Linked DNA regions of Medicago truncatula. Each later gene encodes a partner of the first gene's protein in a complex. Links are inferred from orthologs where the notes say so. Each region holds a gene or a part of one and is shown on either strand. Other genes may lie near its edges.

Evidence for each region.
Region 2: the proteins of NADH dehydrogenase [ubiquinone] flavoprotein 1, mitochondrial (region 1) and NADH dehydrogenase [ubiquinone] iron-sulfur protein 4, mitochondrial are in contact, whole or in part, in a cryo-EM structure (PDB 8BED), measured with the Arabidopsis thaliana proteins. The link is inferred for Medicago truncatula from reciprocal best matches to the Arabidopsis thaliana genes CI51 and FRO1. Residues at the interface, in NP_196470.1 of Arabidopsis thaliana: Gly131, Arg132, Pro133, Glu237, Arg247, Leu248, Pro250, Pro251, Tyr259, Gly260, Cys261; in NP_201560.1 of Arabidopsis thaliana: Tyr140, Ser141, Phe144, Trp146.

Annotation. Positions count from the first base shown.
Region 1 is NC_053042.1:16,131,549-16,141,673, forward strand, and holds the start of NADH dehydrogenase [ubiquinone] flavoprotein 1, mitochondrial, read right to left. Parts: upstream 4,533-10,125; 5' UTR 4,358-4,532; intron 2,905-4,357; 5' UTR 2,894-2,904; coding exon 1,442-2,893; 3' UTR 1,428-1,441; intron 1-1,427. UniProt on the Arabidopsis thaliana protein: Core subunit of the mitochondrial membrane respiratory chain NADH dehydrogenase (Complex I) that is believed to belong to the minimal assembly required for catalysis. Complex I functions in the transfer of electrons from NADH to the respiratory chain.
Region 2 is NC_053045.1:47,951,539-47,962,501, forward strand, and holds the start of NADH dehydrogenase [ubiquinone] iron-sulfur protein 4, mitochondrial, read left to right. Parts: upstream 1-5,749; 5' UTR 5,750-5,836; coding exon 5,837-5,986; intron 5,987-6,388; coding exon 6,389-6,477; intron 6,478-7,071; coding exon 7,072-7,201; intron 7,202-10,559; coding exon 10,560-10,589; intron 10,590-10,727; coding exon 10,728-10,793; 3' UTR 10,794-10,963.

The DNA of each region.
Region 1 (10,125 bases):
TTAATAATAATTAATGCTAAAACAAGAACTGTAGAAACAAAGCTAAAGTTTTGGTGATTGTTATTTTTCTGGGTTTCTTTTTTATGGTCAGAATTTGAGCTAAATAATAAAAGGTCTCCTACTTGATTTGAAAAGCTCCTTTCGACTAATTTCTGAAAAAGTTCTTTGCATCTAGTTCTTATAAATAAAAGAAAACCTCCTTTTATAATTAAGAATTTTCAAAAAAAACTGTTTGGCCTAACTTCTTCTTAAGAAGAAGAGAAGTCAAAAATAGGTCAGACCAAACACAATTTTTTACCCAAATATATCTTTTTATATTAGAACGTGTATTCCTATTAAAGCATATCACACAAACATAAATATATGAACAACATGGGAACTGAATGTTACACAAATCAAAGCTATGAAAAAGGAATATCCAATTCAGCCAGCCATATATGAATTTCTAAAATAATTCCAAATACAAGCCTCTAAGCAAAAGAAATGTGTTACTGCCCAGGAACTACTTTAAAAACTAACTTCCCATAAAATTAACCAAACCCTTCAAACTTTCTTTAAGCAGTCAAATTTAACAAGCTACATCCTTTTCTTTGACGGAACAAGCTGCACCCTTAAAATGAGATTTCAACACTAAACCAATTGTTGAGACTCGAGAGTCCCACATTAGATGTGATATGGCCTAAACAATGTTTATAAGTGGGAGGCATTCCTCCTATTACTGCTTGGGTTTGTGTGGTTGAGTTGAACTCAAGAGTTTGTCCTAAATCCAGTCGGTCACCTGTTATCAGGCCACGGATCATGCAAGTTAACTGCAATTTGGCCTAAACAATGTCTATAAGTGGGAGGCACCCCTCCCCTTACTACTCGGGTTTGTATGGTTGAGTTAAGCTCGAGAGTCTGTCATAAATTCATTAGGTCACACGTTATCGGGCCACACGGATCACGCTCCAGATGCGCAGACATGGTCGTGAGGGATGGTTTTGTTGAAAGTCCTGCATTGGATGAGATATGGCTTGAAAAGGTGTTTATAAGGGGGAGACATATTTCACCTTACCAGCCGGCTTTGTGAGACTGTTAGACCTAACCCAAATTCTAAGATAAACATTCAACAGCTATGGTGTTTATAAGGAGGAGACATATTTCACCTTACCCACCGGCTTTATGTGACTGTTAGACCTAACCCAAATTCAAAGATAAACGTTCAACAGCTATCACTTCATAGGAATAACATACTACCATAGTAACAAGCTCTCACATTTAAGTTTTCCAAAGGCATCTCTCATACCTATCTAAACAACTAACATATTAATGTCTGATCCTTCAATTTAAGCTAAATATATTTTTTCATCTATATACCCATGTGTTTATGAGCTATTTTAGTAAATGGGATTAAAAGCAAAATGAGGGTAAATAATTTAGTGAACAACCTTGGTCTAGGCCTCTAACCAGTGGCCTGCAGCAACTCCCTCTGTGCATTCTCTTTAATCCTTCTCTCAAGCTCGGGCCTGAAATGCCTGATAAGTCCCTGCACTGGCCATGCAGCAGCGTCACCCAAGGCACAGATTGTGTGCCCTTCAATTTGCTTAGTCACCTCCTGAAGCATATCAATTTCTTCTAGCTTGGCATTACCAACTTTCATTCTTTCCATGATCATCCAAAGCCATCCTGTTCCCTCCCTGCATGGTGTGCACTGCCCACAGCTTTCATGCTTGTAGAAGTACGAGAGCCTTGCAATGGCATCCACAACATCAGTAGACTTATCCATCACAATCACAGCTGCAGTCCCCAACCCTGACCCAACAGCCTTCAACGCATCATAATCCATCAGAACATCATCACATACATGTTTTGGAATCAGTGGAACAGATGATCCTCCTGGAATAATAGCAAGCAAATTGTCCCATCCTCCTCTAACACCTCCACAGTGCCTCTCAATCAATTCCTTCAGTGGCATACTCATTTCCTCCTCAACAGTGCAAGGCTTGTTCACATGTCCTGACACACAATACAACTTTGTCCCAGCGTTGTTCTTCCTACCAAAACTGGCAAACCATTCTGGCCCACGCCTTAAAATGGTTGGAGAGACAGCTACGGTTTCCACATTTGTGACAGTGGTGGGACAACCATACAATCCTGCATTGGCTGGGAAAGGAGGCTTCAATCTTGGTTTACCTTGTTTCCCTTCAAGGCTCTCCAAGAGAGCTGTTTCCTCACCACAAATATAAGCTCCAGCACCATAGTGGATATGAACATCAAAATCATAGCCTGAGCCACAAGCATTCTTACCCAAAAGACCAGCTGCATAAGCCTCTTTCCTAGCCTTTTCAAGATTTAAACGTTCATTCACATATTCACCCCTGATGTAGATGTAAGCAGCAGTAGCCCTCATTCCCACTCCAGCAATTAAGCAACCTTCTAACAACTTATGTGGGTCGTGGCGCATGATTTCCCTGTCTTTGCAGGTGCCAGGTTCACTTTCATCAGCATTAACAACAAGGTAAGAAGGACGACCATCAGATACTTTTGGCATAAATGACCATTTAAGGCCAGAAGGAAAACCGGCACCACCACGTCCGCGGAGACCAGACTTCTTCATTTCATTAACGATCCAATCAGTACCCTTAATTACCAAATCTTTAGTGCGATGCCAATCACCACGTTTCATGGCACCTTTCAGGAAAGGATCATGCAGCCCATACAAGTTGGTAAAAATCCTGTCCTCATCCTTAAGTCCACCAAAATGGGTTTTCTCTGGAGGTGGAGGTGGTGGTGGAGGCTGCGGAGTACTTGCAGTTGAGGCACCCTGAGTGCTAAATAATCTAACACCAAGACCCAACTTTTCGCTATGTTGTCGAACCAACACTGCCCTCTTTAAAGAAAGAATGCCCCTCATGGTTATCCAACCTGAAAATAATTTCAAGTTTCCAAACAAAACATTTAAGTTAATCAATGCAAACCAAATTGTCCAGAGCTAAAAATAGTCAAATAAAACAATGCTACAAAAATTGGCTATCAACTTTTGGGCTAAACAATAAGATCAGAGCACGTGAGTCAAAAAACAAGTTTACCCACTTAGGCCCTGTTTGGATAAACAGTTTATATCACAAGCACTTATTATGATAAGCGCTTATGTATAAGCTATTTCTAAAGTAAAAAGGTAAAATAAAGTTAAATTGTTTTCGTATAAGCTGGTTTTATAAGCTATCTTGGAGAACTTGTGAAAATAAGCTAAAAACAACTTGTGAACAATGTCATAAGTTTCCCCCAAACAGTCTTACAAAACTTATGTTAGTAGATAAGCTCAAATAAGTCGATCCAATTAGGCCCTTGGTCGTTATCAGAGTTCAGACCGAAAAAAAAAGAAAAAAAAAAACAATTTGGGTTAATCAATTCAAACCAAATTGTCCAAAGCTAAAGATAGTCAAATAAAACATTACAGTTCAAATTTATTTTTTTTAAGAGGACAATAAATTAAAATTGACTATTAACTTTACGGCTATCCAATAAAATCAAAGCACATGAATCAAAATTCAGACCTCAAAAGACAAACTTCCAAATTACCAATTAGTTATAGGCCATAATTGGATAAATAACTTACTTAAGTGTTTATAGCAACACTTATCGTATAAGTGCTTATGCATACACTACTTCTACAACAAAAGCTAAAACAAAACCATAAGTTGTTTTCATAAGCTATCTCAAAGAGCTTATGGACATGTGATAGGCTGTTTCCATAACCTCTTGAAACAATCTCGCAAGTTTTTATGACAGTAAATAAGCTCAAATAAGTCAATCCAAACACACCCATAACCAGAGTTCAGACAACAACAGAGTCTTATCCCACTAAATGAGGTCGGCTACATGGATCAAATTACCCATAATCAGAGTTCAGAGACCCAATTGAAAAATCAAAAGCATAAACTTAAAACACTCAACAACTTTTTGATTCATAACATGCCATATTAAACAAAAAATCCAACAAAACAACCTCCATCAAGCCCCACACATTCAATCCCAACCCAATTCAATCAGATGTAAACTAAATCAATAAATAAATACAAAAAATGGATTTTGGGAAGATTACTGAAACCCTAACAAGAACAAAAAGCGTTGGGGGTAATCTGTATCTACAAATCTAGGAAGAAATAAATTGTGGGTAAGATTGAAATGCACGTGAATTGCAAGCTTGAATGTGTTTATACCAAAAATTGAATGAAAACTAAATTAAAATTATAACATAGATTTGAGCTTAAGCTTAAAAGTAAAAGAATTAGCGTAAATTAAGATAAGGATAAATGGGTTAAGAATAAGATGAAAAAAGAATGAGAGGATGTGAAATTGAAGATGAAGGATGTACCTGCGGATCTAAGAAGTGTTGGAAATGGAGAACCTTGTTGTTCTTCTTCTTGTTTTGTTTTTTCGATTTAGCTTTTTGTTTGGTAGAAAGAAAGAAATAACACGAGTTGGGTTGTTTGAACTTTGGGCTTTTGTTTAGCCACGTTGCATACTTATGAAAAGAGGTTATGGAGATTTAAATGATGAAAGAGATAATTAGCAACAACCAAAAAAATTGATCAAGGGTATGTTTGTATTGACTTGTAAAATCAGCTTATTTATAGCTTATACGAAAAATAATTTAACTTTATTTTAGTAAGAGTATGACCAACGCTTTTTTAACATTCTCTTTAATATTGTCTATCTTATTGTATGAAATCAATGTGGTTTGTTTACTTTGAAAATGAGACTCACATAAAATGGTAGAATTTATATTGATTTCACTCGATAAGAGAGTGGATGTTATAAAGAGTGTTGTTAGCACTGCTTTTATTTTAGTTTTTGCAATCAAAATAGCTTATACATAAGTGTTAATACTTGTGTGAATTTCATCTTTCAATGTGAATCCATGCGGAGACGGCCTTTGGGAATTCGCATACAAAGAAGTTTTTTCTGTGGGGATGTGGATGAGGGAGAAAGTTCCTTTGAGGGTAGTGCGAGTATAGCTGTCAAAATAGGCTACCTGACTTGTCTAGAGCCTTCGGGCCTTATCAGGTCGGACCAAAAAAACCTATTGAAAATATGGGCTTGAAAAAAAAACTATCCGAGTTTGGCCTTATAGGGGACGACCAATATTTTTTGAAAAAGTTAAACTAACCCCTCAAATTGACACCAAAGAGAATCGAACCTGAGACCTTGAGGAGGAGCACACTCCCAGATCCCAAGCCAATACTACTAGACCAACCCAAGTGGTATTGTTAATGTTTCAATGTGGGACTTCAACTTCACTTATATTATGGTATAACATATCTCTTTTACAAGCTACTAAGCACAAACATGATGTAAAGCTTTAGGATATTTTGTTACTTCTCAACGTAATCCTCTTCTTTTTTTTAATGAAGAAATATTGAAGTATCATGTTTCATACATGATATTACCATGATGTGTTTGAACTCTTTAGTTAAACTGGAGAGTTTTTTAAGTGTGTGATTGTTAAGTGTTAAATATAATTAAATAGTTATATTTGAGCAATAACAAATTTATTTACCTTAATGGTATTCATAATAATTATAGATATTGTTTATAGCTTTCATGTGACACGATTTTTAAACCAAAAAGATAATCATAACTTAAGATTTTGTCACAAAAAAAGTTAATATGAGTAGTATAAAAGCAACTTAGATACAATGAGCATAAGTGTATATCAAGCTATCTCATTAACAAAGACGAGTCAAATTATATTTAGCTCAAGTTGAACGCATTTATTTAACGAGCTTAATTTTTATGTCAAATGCAACAGAGTTTATTTGTTTGTTCTCAATAAGATCTATATATAAGCAAATTTCTACATAAGATATGGTAAATATCAATTCTCAGAGCTCTCAATAACAATTGGTTCTTTGAAAACTTCTCACTCTAAAGACATGTTCACAGATACCTTAGAGATACTTGTGAAACATTTATTCATAATTTGCTCAAATTACAATTTCATATTAATCAGTTCACCATAATAATAGTAATATATTTCTGTTTAATGATTTTTCATGTACCATTAGTCCTGAATTTAAATAGTAAGCAAATTCAAGCTGCATATATAGCTTCAAAATGTTGAAAAGAAAACACAACATAGGCTGATTTCATAAAGGATAATTTCATTGATAAATAATAAGGAAGAAAGCAGGGCATAGGTAGCAAACAACATCCATTGATCATCCAATTCCATTTGGAATTATGAACTTAATATTGTTGGAACAAAATTGATTTGTACAATTCCTCTAAGGTTTTGATGATAACAAAGTATTGACGAACAATTGGATATATTAATATTTGTTCAAATGTGCAGGATCATAGAACATATCCATCAAGAGATTGAACATATATTAAAGCGTCGGAAGCACAAGAGAAGCTTAAAAGAATATGGTAGAAGATCTGAAGAAAGGTCAACCGAAAGTCAACATCTTGGATTAGAAGAAAATGACGTCTCTCAGAAGCCGAAGATCAACCTCATTAGACTCGATGAAGATCATCAGACTCGAAAGACCCCTAGACTCAACAGATCGTGAGGGACCCATACTCCACGTCAGATTTGTCGTCTTCTATAGCTATCTCCATCAAAGGATCTGAGTATAATTTTGTCTTCTTCTGATCACGTGTAGAAACAAATAAAGGACTTCAAGGACAAAGAGAATGAAAATATACTTCTAGTTTCAACAAAGGATTTTCGAATGACTATCCAACAAAATTATTCAAATTAGGCAATGGCCCAACATCCTTGATTTGAAGCTTCTCAATGACTCTTAATGTGCTAACACTCTTATTCAATGTCTTTCAAATCCCTGCCTATATAAGCAGCTAAATGGTTAGACAATCTAATATTTATGTATGATAAATCTTAAAATTTATATCAGATCTCCTCACACTTCAAATTAAGGTGATATGTTGAAACGGAAGAGAACTCCAGTCTATCAGTATGTTAGGCGTAGTCTTTAAGTCATGTGAGTATGAAGGTTTATATTATAAGGTATCTATGACAATATTTGTGTACATATGGTCACAAATGAGTAAAAGCATAATTTATACATACATAGTTAGTATAGAGTATGAGATGTAAATATGTATTATAACCTACATTAATAGTAGATGACAGGAGTTCTGAAATCACACATCAAATAATTTGCAATAATATAGTTAACTTTGATTAAATTATGATAAAATATAAATAACACTACGATAAAAACATGTAGACTTACAGATCGGTAGTAAAGATTAGGCTTAATTGCAGTTTCGACACTCTATGTTTCAAGAAGTTGCGATATTGGCCCCCTAACTAAATAAACTACAAAACCGCCTCCTAAGTATTGACTTTTTTGCAGTTTTGGCCCTCCAGACCAATTTTAACAAAGTCAATGCACACATGGACGCCACCTTAAAATGCAAAGGTCTTTAGAAATCAACAAAACAGAAAGAAAAGTAAAATCCTAAAATGCAAAGAACAAACCTCTTACAAATCATCTATCGAAAAAATACCTCAAAAGCAAAGCTCAAACCTTTTAGTAATCAATGAAATGAAAAATTAAATTATAACCGTAAATGCTAGGTTAAGTGGCTTGGACAAATCATGCATCTGAAAAAGGAAAATAATAGTTCAAATGCAAGACTTTTATGAAATAAAATAAAAAATATGTCATGCATGGTTTGAGATATATAGAAAAAATGGTATTGATAAAAAAGAATGGAAGCTAACATCAAGAAATATTGAAGTTGAACGAGTTGAAGAACTTCAACTTTAGTAAAGAAGAAAGAAATGATGAAGAAGATGTGAAGGAGGGAAATCAAAGACATGACAATGACATCATCAGTAGATGTAGAACTCTAACTTCGAAATCACCCATATTACTTTACGAATATGCCCTTGTTGAGGGTAAAATTGTATTTTCTTATATATTCTTAGATGGTTAGTAAATTTTTAGAGCATATCAGCTTGGCGTAATGAGTGGCAGCTGTTGGTGCAACATCATGAAGATGTTTATGTTCATCTTAATTTTTATCCCAAATTCTATTTAACTTTGCAGACATTTGTGATTAAATTCTTCATAATTTTTCATATATAGATGTCCATTGTAAATTGCTACTCACTTTAGCTTCCAAGAGGATGTTTATTAATGTTATTTTTTATATTTTAAGGTTGTTTACTAATGTTGTAAACAGTTACTCTTTATTAGCTAAAACTTATAAAAATACATTCTTTCATATATTTTATATTCTAAATAAATTTTTTAAAAAGTCACGTGAATATATAGTAACCAAACATCTTACACAAACAAGAAATCAAAGTAATTATACGTGCTCATTAACCAAATTTGTTATATACCCTATAAAGATTTTTAAGAAATATTTGAACAAGTAGTATCCAACATATGGACAATATTCAATTATTTGTAAATCCATTCTTACTATATAATTTCATTGCATTCGCTACCACTACTAATCTAAAGTAGATTGATTTCTTTAAGTTGTAAAAACGATTTTACTGTTAACAAATACCTATGTGGTCAGTTTCAGCAACATTGGGGGAAATGTGTCGAGGAAAACCAAGAAAGACTGAGTTCAAAACAATTCATATCAGAGATGTTGTAACTCATTAACGTTATTTAATTATTGTTACTTTTTTTTAATTGTAATTATTAATAATTGGATACTAATGAATATATCTCCATGTTAAAAATATTATGGGACTAGAGACATACAATGACATATATCCTACTTTTGTGTATATTTTTGGTTAGGAAGTTTACCAAAACTAGAAGGCTTACGCATGCATTTACAAACATATTGTGATTTGGAATGGATCGTTGGATCAACAACTTATAACAAATGGATGGAGTGAGATTTGTGAATTTACAACTTATAATACCAGCGTCACGAGGTTGTTTTCTCCTCTTTTTGGGATAATATGTTTTTATTAAAGTTTTTGATCAACACAAAATGCATAGGAGGTTAATCCTAAAAATTAGGCATGTGCATATATTAGACATTACAAAAATTGATGCAAGTATAAAGTCACCAATTTCCAAAAAAGATTCTACCTTGCATTTTTTATTTTAAAAACATCCCTTCATCATTAACACTAGCGAAAAGACGGACACTCACGTGTTATTTTTTATTGCGATAACGTTTGAAAATTATGAATAGTTTTTTTTTATGAAATTTTGATTTTGATTAAAACTAAAAATATAAATGTTTGTTGCTTTTAAGTTATAACAAATCAACGAAAAACAAAAATTTCTTGAAAAAAATAATATTTTACAGGAGGGTGAATCAAAATAAAAATTTTACAGGGTGAAAACCAGAAATGACCTATATTACAGGGGGGTCAAGACCTATTAACCCTTTTATTTATATATAGTATAATTAAATAACATTGCATACAGGTTTGCAAATATTATAAAGTCTTGAGTTGATCATACATTTTCAAATGACTTTCCTTACTTTGTGATTAATGAAGAAATCATGTTGCTCATAAGTAACTTTTTCTTCTTTAATTTGATCGATTTAGAAGAGATCATGTTGCTTGTAAGTTTACAACAGGTAATTTTCCTTACTTTGAGATTATTGAAGAGAGCATGTTGCTTATTAATTTACGAATATTATCAGTTTAAATATTTTTTCTGATCGAATACCGAACGAAACCATTACTCACCTACCCTATTCTAACTCCTCCTAGTGGGCTTTGAACCCATAACGTTTGAGTTTAAGACTTGTCTTTTTCCATTATAATTTTTTTTTGACAAAAATAAAAGATATTCATTTATTCAAATTGATAAAGTACATCGATACAATACAAATTCAAATTCGCTAAAAACAAAAAGTATGAATATGTGAAAAAATCACAACATCCATGTTATTAACATAAAACGGCAAAATACCTATGCCTACAAATATGACTAATATGACTGTATTAAACACTCCAGAATATTCATGTTTCTAGATCTGCAACGTTGACGATGCCAAAGTCATTGTCATTGATAAGATTTGCATTTCTTCAAAGCTAATCTTTCAACCTGAATCAAATAAACACCGCACTAAGGTGAGAAATAAAAAACACACCACACAAAGACTCGAAATCAAAAC
Region 2 (10,963 bases), on another chromosome or scaffold:
TGTTAACCGATATAGCACCAACACGTCAGATTGAAGGTGTATCTGGTGTCTAACATGTGCAATACGAACACATGTTGTTACTTTCAATTACTTCTATTTCTCAGAGTATAGGTGTCGCCGCGTCGGTGTTGTGTTGGTGCTTCATAAATGTAAAAACAAGAGAAGAGAAGATGTTAGGAACCCAAGAATTGGATTCCTAAGAAAGAACACTTTTATTAAGAAAAAATAGGAAAGAATAGGGAGATAAATCTCTCCTTCAAGGGATTCCCCTTCACAATAGAGTTACTACTCGATTCACACTGTTTACAATATTCAATAATGATCAACTCTACATTGTTTCTCCTATTTATACAAATAGTCCTATAACAACCTCAACTAACCAACTAACTACTCCCTCCTTCCTAAATTAAGTGACCCATTTGGTCATTTCACACATATTAAGAAAAATGTATACTAAGTGAATGAGAGAGAAAAATGGTTTTGAATGTTTTTGTCAAGTATTGGTGCATTTACCATTATCATAGATGCAAAAAAGAATATATTAAATTGGGAGTGATGACAGTAGTATTAATTAGAGTTATAATTGAAAAAAAAGTAATTAATATTGCATTGAGAACTGAAATGGGTCAGTTATTTTAGGACAATATTTTTTTTACAAAAGAGTCACTTATTACTGGACAAAGGGAGTAACAACCCTATAACAATCCCAGCTAACTAACTTCTATAAGACTATAACAACTTTTAACCATCAATCTAAATAATCACCATTCTATATCTATATCCTATGTTTGAGAGTTGGTTTTTGGTTTTGGAGGTTTTTAGAGGGCAGGGGTTTGGAGGGCTACGTCTATATCAAATATGTATGAAAATATAGACATAGCCCTCCCCCTTCAAAACCCTCCAAAAACCAACTCGCAAACACACCCTTACATAACAACTCCACAGATTCAAGCAACCAATAATTTGTAATATTTGGCTGGCAAAGAGTAACCTAAGTTATAACATTGTAATATGCATATAGAACATTTTTACAATCAGTATTGAAAAATGCAATTAGCCCTTTATGAAAATAAAGGTAGAAATTTGAACACAACCTGGAAAAACCTACAATTATGCATTGCATCAAAATGCAAACGTTAGGGATTTTAATTTCTCATTTTTAAATTTCATAAATCAATCAAACAAAAATTGCATTGAAAAATGAAAAGCTTTTCCCTTTAAGCTCACCCATTAAGAAAAAAACAACATTGAGTTAGAAAATCAGAAACACATTCAAAACAACAAAACCAGCCACATGCATTCAAGTGGGAAGAGAAAGAACAGATTATACTTCTAACCAACAAAAAAAAAAGGCAAAAATTGAAACTTTCTTTGAGGGAAAACGAAAGGGTCAAAAAATTATAGAAGAATCGGTTAGGTGTGTACCTAATCACTGGGCGATGAAGAGAATTGCGAAAAGTTGAAGCATTTGAGGAACAGAAATCGAAAAATCCGAATGAATTTGCAAAACGGCAGAGAAAGAGAAAGAATGTGTTCTATTCAACCCAATTGTGTGTCTTCATTTTGTTTTATCAACTTAACCTCTGAAAATATTCTATACCCTTGTCATTTATTCCGAATATAATTTATCCAAATTGCAAGAATGCCCTCTAATATCTCTTATTTGGTCAAATAATTTATCGGATAGGATTCACTTTTTAAAATGAATAAACGTGTGTTCGGATTTTAAACACCGACACTTACATATAATAATGATTTGTCTTTATCAACTGATATATTTCATAGATATAGATCTCTTGTTAGTTACTCGTATAAAATTACAACTTAGTAAATTGATGATAAATTGATAAATAAGCAGGAAAAAAAATTGATTGCAAACGATGAAACATACACACACATAACATAGTCTACTATCAGAGAAGAAAGACAAAGGAACAAGTGCTAGAGAGCTACAAAAATGTAACGATGAAACTGTGATAAGAGTAACAAGTAGCAACACATGATGAATATTGAGAAGCTTACCTCTATCCACTTTCTTTTTTTTTTCAGTGATTCAGGTAGCAAAAAAATTCGTCTCCATTATTCTGATTTTGTCTCATATATTTATACCCAAAAATTAGTATAAAGTAGCTAGGAGGAAGAGGACAAAAATGCAAAGTTGGTGATTTTCAGAAAATGTAGAGCAATGAGCAAAGGTACAACGGCTCAAAAAGGGAAAAGAAAAGAGCAATTGAAAAAAGATAAATTGGGAGGAGCCCTCAAGAGTCAAGAGGAAGGATACGATGCATATACTTTGCCATAGTTTTTTATCTTTGTTTTTTCTTTCTCAACTAGTGAGACAGTTTTTCTGTATTTTGTTTTCATTTTATATCTTTCCTATTTTTGTCATTTTTATTTTTATATTATAACTCTGTTTTATCATGAGATTATTATTAATACAAGAAACAGAGTATTTTGAATTTTAATTTGTGACCTTGAGCTTGTAATCCAAAATCTTGTATTTTTATTGTACTTAAGTTGAATCAAAACAAGAGACTTGTATAATAAAATTAATCCAATGAATGTTATTTATTTTATGACTGAAATCTAATGAGTGTTATTATTTATCAATTTTTATAAGAGAACAAAATAGATTAATATAAAAAAATGAACAAAGTTAGGGTATTACAAACTTGAAATAAACTAAAAATAACAGCAAAACAAAAGCAAAGAAACACAACGATAAAAACACTAGCAAATACATTAGATCTTAAACTGGTTGGCGATGAAGTGACCAAAATACAAAGATATCATAGTGACTTTCGATGGGGGCGTTAGACGACCAATTTTGCAAGTGAGGTCGCAATCAGTGGGGAAAGATTTAGAGGCCGTGATGCCTAAGGCATGTTTACATAGGCATAAGTGAATTCTTTTGTTGGTACGAGAACCTTTAAGACCAAGGAAAAACTTGAGATTACCTACGTCTTTGATGCAAAAGGATGAATAGAAAAGACTTTTAATAACATTGATTTATGTGGAGTTCATTGTGAGAACAATGTCGTCTACGTAAACTAGCAGAATAGTGAAGGAATGAGAAGATGATTTGATTAACAAGGAGTGATCATATTCTGAATGATGGTATCCAATAATGATAATTGCAGAAGACAATTTAATAAACCATTGCCTACTTGCTTGACATAGACCAAAAGGGGGTTTGTTGAGACAACATGCTTGATTAGAAGAGGTAGGCATGAGACCTGATGCCAACTCCATCCAATTGTTGAAGAATCCTTCCTTTAGCAACTACAATGGAAAGTAAAAGACATACAATAGTTATTTTAGCAACAAGTGAGAAGGTATCAAGAGAGTTTACCCCTTCTTGTCGAGTGTAGTCTTTGACCATAAGGAATGTTTTAAAGCGTTCTATAGTGCCATTAACTTTATGTTTGATACGATACTCCCATTTGCAACCAATCACAACTTTATCTTTAGATAAGGCGGTTAGTGACCAAGCATTTTTAGTTGTAATGGCTCGAAGTTTGTTGGTCATGGCATTAATCCCTTTTTGTAATTTGATAGCCTACTTATAGGTTTGCGTTCAATAGCATTGGAAATGGAAAATGTGTAATGAAGATTAGATAGAAATAATTTATGATAAGATAGTACAAAGTGTAAAAGATACATCAAATTGGGTGTATAAGAGGATAGTTGAGTTTCACGATGACAATGAAAATCTTAGAGACAGTTAAGAGCCTTTATAGTTTTAGTGGATCGTCTGAGTTTGGTTGTGTCAAAAGTTAGTTTTTGGTAAGGATTGAGAATATTTTACGATGAAAGGTCACAAGTTATGGTAGGTCTGAAGTTCAAGGATTAGAGATGGGTTTAGTGTAATTTGTTTTGGTGCATTATGCAGAATCAACAAGGTCATTGAACAGAAAAATTGAATAATCTTGGATTTGTACAATCAATACTAAGAAAAATAATCAATAATTTCAACATAAGCAAAAGTAGATTCATGAAAAAATAGCATTTCTTGTAATGAAAACTTATCTAGTAGATAGATCAAAGACAAGATAACCTTTTGTACCAAATTTGAATCTCAAGAAGATCCATTTTATTGCTCGTGGATCAATTTTAGTACAATGTTGTTCCAAGGTAGAAACAGAAAAGTCAGAGGTTTATCATACACCATTTCAAAAGGAGTCTGATTTTGCAAAATAGGAATGGGTAATATATTGATTAGATAAACAACATGAGTCATTGCATAAAGATCATAAAGCAATTCGAAAGGAGTTTTATGTTATCATAGTCGTTGTCTTTCGCGGATGAACTACTCCGTTGTTTTTTTTATTTTTCTTGATTAAGACCATTTTCTTCTTGTGGGCCTTCATATTATACATGGTGTTATCTAGTGTTTGTTCTTTATGACAATGTCATCGAGGCGGTGACGCGTCATGGTTTTTGGGACCTTCTACTTCGTGTCTTCTTGGAGATGGAAAACACCGATAAAGGAAACTTTTGTATCAGTTGACTTGCCTATTGAATGGTGAATTTCTAGTTTATGGATCCACCATGTTAGACATTAGAGTCACCATGTTAGACATTTTGTAACCGGCATAATAATGGGATCCTAATGCATTGGTAAATCTTACTGAGGGCTCCACAGTGGGCGTCAATGTTCACGCGTGAACACACAAAATGGATCATCAAAGTCGATGATGTAATCTTCACATCTCTAGTCATACGCTCCTTCTTCAGGCGAGGAAGGTGTACTTGCAAAGACACCATGATGCCAAAGTAAGATAAGACATACCTTGACACGAATATGAAAACGGATAACAAGTCATCATACTTAGGGGTGAACCCCTTATTTATATATTATATGCACTCATATACACTTAATCTTGTTACTATTTTCACTCTAGTGATTGTTGAGGTCGTTACTAGATATGTGTTGTTTGTCACCGTAAAAAATTATCAAGATAGCCACTTACACATATTTATTTGATATACGCTCCTTGGTGTTAGAAGCATGTCAGTGCTTATAAACTCCTTATATGTTGGTGTGTTAGTTTTTTGGGATGACATTGGGGTTGTTTTCAGTTTCTACACTATGTCATTTTGTTATGCTAAAATGGACACATCATAAATTCTCTTCATTCATACTTCACAATCGGGTGTATTTTCTCTTTTTAAAGTCGATTTCCTTAGTGGATAATCCATAATGTTTTAGTTTGTCTTCTAAGGCCCGTATCATTACAAGTTATATATGACATATTACACTTGTTGTGCATTCCAATGATTTTAAGGCCAGCAAAGACCGACCTAGAACTTTAGAAAAAGATGAATAATTAATTGATCATGAAATATCATATTTTAGTTAAATTTAGAATCACTAACATATTTGTTAGTTATATACTTTTTTATGTTATTTATTATCAACCTATTAACAATACACAATCCTTCATTCATACAAAGACGTTCTTTTAATATGCTCCCTTCAGACTCTATTATAAACAAAAAATGATTTTTTAGATTTTTTGAATAACTAATATATTCGGTTTGTAATATAAATCAAATATATTAGTTATACAAGGAATTTAAAAAGTGAAATGTTGATCGGAGAGAGTTATATTATGGTTATAGTAATTTTAATATATTATAATAATGTTTAATATATATTATTGCTACCATTTAAAATTTTAAAAAGCACTCTTAAGAAAGGGAAAATTTGTAAAATGTAAAAGTAAAAGGGCCAAGCTAAAAATTTATCGGAACAAAAGCGAACGAGAAAGGCTCGGGAGGTTCATTTTGTCTTTGGCACCATCCTCCGCAGAATCAAAATTCCCATCAAACGATGACGAACATCCTGCTACGCACGGCGAGTCGCGGTGGTTCCCTACGCGCCACCCTCATCCGCCGGTTCTCCACTGATGCATTGGTTGAGTCCAAACCCGGCGAGATCGGTTTGGTTTCTGGAATCCCACAAGAACACCTTCGTAGAAGGGTATTATGCTTTAAATTTTTCGTTTTTTTTTTTTCTTCCGGTTTTTCATTCCCCAATTTTATTATATTTGTTTCATTATTATGGTAGAATAAAAGTTTTTATTTTTTATATGTAGTATAATTGTTTTAGATTCAATTGAAGTTTTGTTTTGTTGAAATTTTGCAAAATAATTGATGCATCATTAGATCCTATGTAATGGACTTAGCTTAACCGGCAATGCCGATATTGTCAGGCTGGACACCTTCACCCGGGTTCCAAGCCGGGACTTTGCAGTTGTCTGCGTGAGTTTTAGGTGGTGTTTATCACTTCATTTAAAGACAAAAAAATAATTGACCTGTTAAACACCTGTTAACAATTGAAATTCAATTAGGCGTTTAGCTTATACTTGCAATGTGATGGCAGGTTTTGATTTACTCACCTGCTAGAACTGCTGGTCAACAAGGATCTGGGAATGTTGGAAGATGGAGGATCAACTTCTTATCAACCCAGAAGTAAATTCTCTCTGTTTATCATTTTTCTTTCACTGCTTGTTTAGATATTGTTTTACTAGTTTTAGAACTCGAATTATTTATTATTTTTCCCTAACAAGTTTGATGTTTCTGCGCTGGATATCTGTTGTCTGGATTAGGATTCTCTCATGTAGGAAAAACACTAGGAAATAATGTGGAATATCTATATCATTGAAATATAATGGGTGAAGAGTTTTGAAATTTATAATAATGAAGAGTTGAGATTTGAAACTTAAGAAAATTTGAGAGAAAAAAAATGGAGAGGATGCATTTCCCTGTTGTCCATATATCTCGATTTTTGACAAATTTCTTATCGAAATTCATTCATAAAAGCGGAACTTATGCTATCATTGACATTACATTTCCTGCACATGTGGAAATTTTCAGAGTTTTAATCACTATGTTATTTTACATATGTTATGATTCTTCCTGGGCATCTCTAAGTAGTTTAAGGAGTTGCTAGTTGTTTCAGTATAATATCCTGAATTTATACTTTAATTCTTTAACTGATCTTATTGTTAAATTTGTAATACCTAATAATAGTTTAATTTGTACTGTGAACTAATATGTCTATAGGTGGGAAAATCCACTGATGGGGTGGACATCCACCGGAGACCCATATTCCCATGTTGGTGATTCTGCGTTGGATTTTGATACTGAAGAAGCGGCAAAGGAATTTGCAGAGAGACATGGTTGGGAATACGTGGTATGTTTTTGCCATTCAAACATAGGTCACATAAAATTTTATGTTTTTCTAAGCCTTCAAAGTGCTCCAGTTATGATTCATAATTTCATACTTGTGCTTATTAAAGTAAACCATTATCAGATGGATTGGTTCACCTTCTCTTGCTCATGTCTCGCCTAGGATATTAACTTAAAATCACAATCTATAGAATGAGGGTTTCAATATTGTCCGAGCAGTCTAACTTACAAGAATCAGCATATCTTGCTTCTCAACTGATATGAAGAGTTTATCATTGAACTGTGGCTACTGTGTTTGTTAGTCATTTAATTTCGTTTAAAATTTCAAGTATTAGGCTGCTAAATAAAAAAGTTCAATTTATAAGTCTATTATTTTCTGCATGAGATGAAGCCAGATGCGCAAGCCTGCATCTGTAACAGATATGGCCAGATTGCATCTGGAATAGAAACAGATGAGGGATAGACTTGACCTGAGATGGGTTTAAACTACTTCCAGGACTAGGACTGGTAAGCTCAAGCTGCATCTAGAACATAAGTTGGGAGTTGGTTTGCATTCAAATAACGACAAGGTAGAGCATGTCTTGGACAAAGACTGAGCTCATTCTGCATCTAGGACTAGGATGAGACTACAGCACTTATGAAACAAAAGCCGAGGTTAGAGAGTGCCTGGGACGAGGATTTAAGCTTGAGACCTTATAACTTTCTCATGTCAATGCTATGCTAGTAATAGAAAAGACAGAAATGCTAAATACAAACGCGCAGACACTCACTTTTTAGCACACGCCTGTATACACTGCGACGACCTTATAACTTGTTAACTGGCTTAACCAGTTGGTGTATTTTTAATTTTTGTATGACTTTGTTCCTGGAAAAAAGAGGCCAACGGTTGCTCGGGGTCTTTAGTCATCCATGTGTGACTGCAGGTCCTTGGACTCTAGATCCCCACCTTTCTAGGTTCAACTTCTTTCCCATTCTATTCCAAAAATAAAATAAAAAATCAACTGGGTTATTGCTTCAGCAGAGCTACAACCCATAACCATAACTCCTTTAAAAACTACCAACCCCACCTAAGATCCTCACTACCCAAATCAAATCCAATCCATGAAGAAGCCCCACCATCACCAGGAGAGGAATCCACGAAAGAAACACCCATCTAAGAAATTCGAAACAATGATTCCCATTGTGGAAGTAGCAGAGGTTGTTTCTTCAGCAGGTCCTTGTACTCTTAAGCCACTCAAAGATTTTCAATTTATGAAACCATCGGAATTGATGCAAATTGGCTTTGTCTTTGGTTTATGCAACCTGTTAATTTTTTTGTTAATTTTATAATTATTTGATCTTACGTTGCAAATTTGAACTTGAGTGGTTGTTGATGGTGGTTTTAATTAGAAAGAATGGTGGATAGTGGTGGTGGTTGGATGGAGAAGACCCTTCAAATTGCTACTGCTTCGTAACTGTGAAATCCAAAGTAAAAAAAATAAAAATGTTATGCGAAACTGAGTAACAAGTGGCCAAATAAATTGTTTGAAATATGGATGACGTGGTCCAATTAATAAGAGTGTGATCACGAGAGTTTGTTTTAGCATTTGACGCCAGCATTGCTCTAGAAAAGAATGAACTGGACGAATAACTTTACTGTATGACTTCTGTGCAATAGATGTGAAGTGTTTTAATCTAAGTAATAGTTGTGCTTTAAGTTATTTTCGGATAAAGCAGAGGCTAGATAAATTGTAAGATGGGAAGACTAAAGATCTCAATTGGTTGTGACTTCAAACAACCAGACGACAATCGCTAGCCTAAACGAAGAATGAGATTGTAAACCTCCAAAGTGGAATGAGGTCACAAATAACTGTGTCTTCTAAGCCTTCAAAGTGCTTTAGTTATGATTCATAACTGTTCATATTAAAGTAAACTATTATCAAGTGGATTGGTTCACATTCTCTTGCTCGAGACTCAGTTAGGATATTAACTTAAGAGAACTTCTACTGTGCACAAGCTAGTTTGGTTGTGCTTGGTACACAATTTTATTTATTTATTTATTTAATTTTTTTTTTACGATTGAATGATATAGAGGCTCACGAAATCTATCATAAACTCATCACACTGGATTTTCTTCTCACGTACTCCCACCTCCTCAAATGTTTGCCCCACTTGATAACATCTGAGTCCTTGATATTTGTCCATCATCCTCCTCGTCCCTTTTTGCATCTTCTTCAGACAGACTCATAACTTCATGCCCAAATCCTAAAACACGTTGCTCACAAAAAATATCACTTCTTCACAGTGAAACTAGTTCAAATAGAGGAAACTGAGGAAGTGAGGGAGGGTCATGTTTCTCCAACAATTCATCCTCAACAGAAATTTAAATGGTGTTTTTCTCACAATTTACACCCTGAAACTAAATTTCAAACCCATTGACTGAAAGTGGGGAGACTCGATTACATTAATCCCGCTTTAACAGAACCCATTGAAGTGAGAAGGAAAGTTTGACTGGGGAGGTAAAATGGATGTCAGAGATAAAGAAAAAACTCTGGTAGGATAGGAAGAGAGAAAAAGATTCATTGTAGAGAGTGGACTATTAAATATGATGGATTTCTTTGATCCGATGGTAAATATATATTAGGCATGATGCAACACTTATTGTACTTGTGCATGTTAGAATTGGCCTTAACCTGAAATCACAGTCTATAGAACTGGGATCAGCAGACCTTGTTTCTCAGATGATTGGGGGAGTTTATTATTGAACTGTGCTTGTCAGTCATTTAATTTTTTTTCAATTTTCAAGCATTAGGCTTCTCAACAGAAAAGCCCACTTGGTAAGTCTCTATATGTAGTTTTGTGAATGAGATGAAGCTGGACTGCATCTGGAGCAGATATGACTCGATGCATTTGGAATAGAATTATAGAAACGGGCGGGGGATTGAGGGTCTAGACTGCATCCAGGGCTCGAACTTGTAAGTTCAAGCTGCATCTAGAGCATAAGTTTGGGGTTGGTTTGCATTCAAATAAAGACAAGGCAGAGCATGGAGGAGATGCCAGTGAAGATTAGGCACTGAAGTAATGACTAATAACCCATTATATGATGCATGAAGGATGGTAATGCATTGATACCATGTTGAAATTATAAGGATTTAGGTACAAAAGGAAAGAAAGAACAGAAGCTGAAGACTCTGAAACTGATTGATTTGTTGTGATAAGATGCAGTAGATGACACTTAATTCTAATTAAATAAGAAAACAAAATTATGAAATATACAACATATGGAAACCGTTTCTAACAGATTATCCATGATATGCTAACAGCGGTTATTGTTATTGTTGGTGTTGTGTTCTTTATTAACAAATGCGTTGATCTTGTTGCAGGTCAAGAAGCACCACACACCATTGCTGAAGGTTTGAACATCATTCACCGTTTTCATTGTGATTTTAGTAATTTAAATGATAGTGGCATTATTATCAGTTCCTTTCACCACTTCTTTTGTGCCTGCTTTGCACCCTTATTGATAATAATCGTTTAACTCGTGGTTTCAGGTTAAGTTATACGCAGACAACTTTAAATGGAAGGGTCCACCCAAGGCTGCTGAAGCTGAACAGTGATTTACTGCTTGTGTTGTTCATGTGTTTAATCTTCACGAGTTTCTTAGTGAAGCAGTTTTCTCTGCATCTTTTCGTGTGAAAGAAAAGGTCAAAATGTGTATTTCTGATTAAAATAAATGGGACTCTGACTTGCCATTGCCTTAGCTTTCCTTGTGATGTAGATAACTATT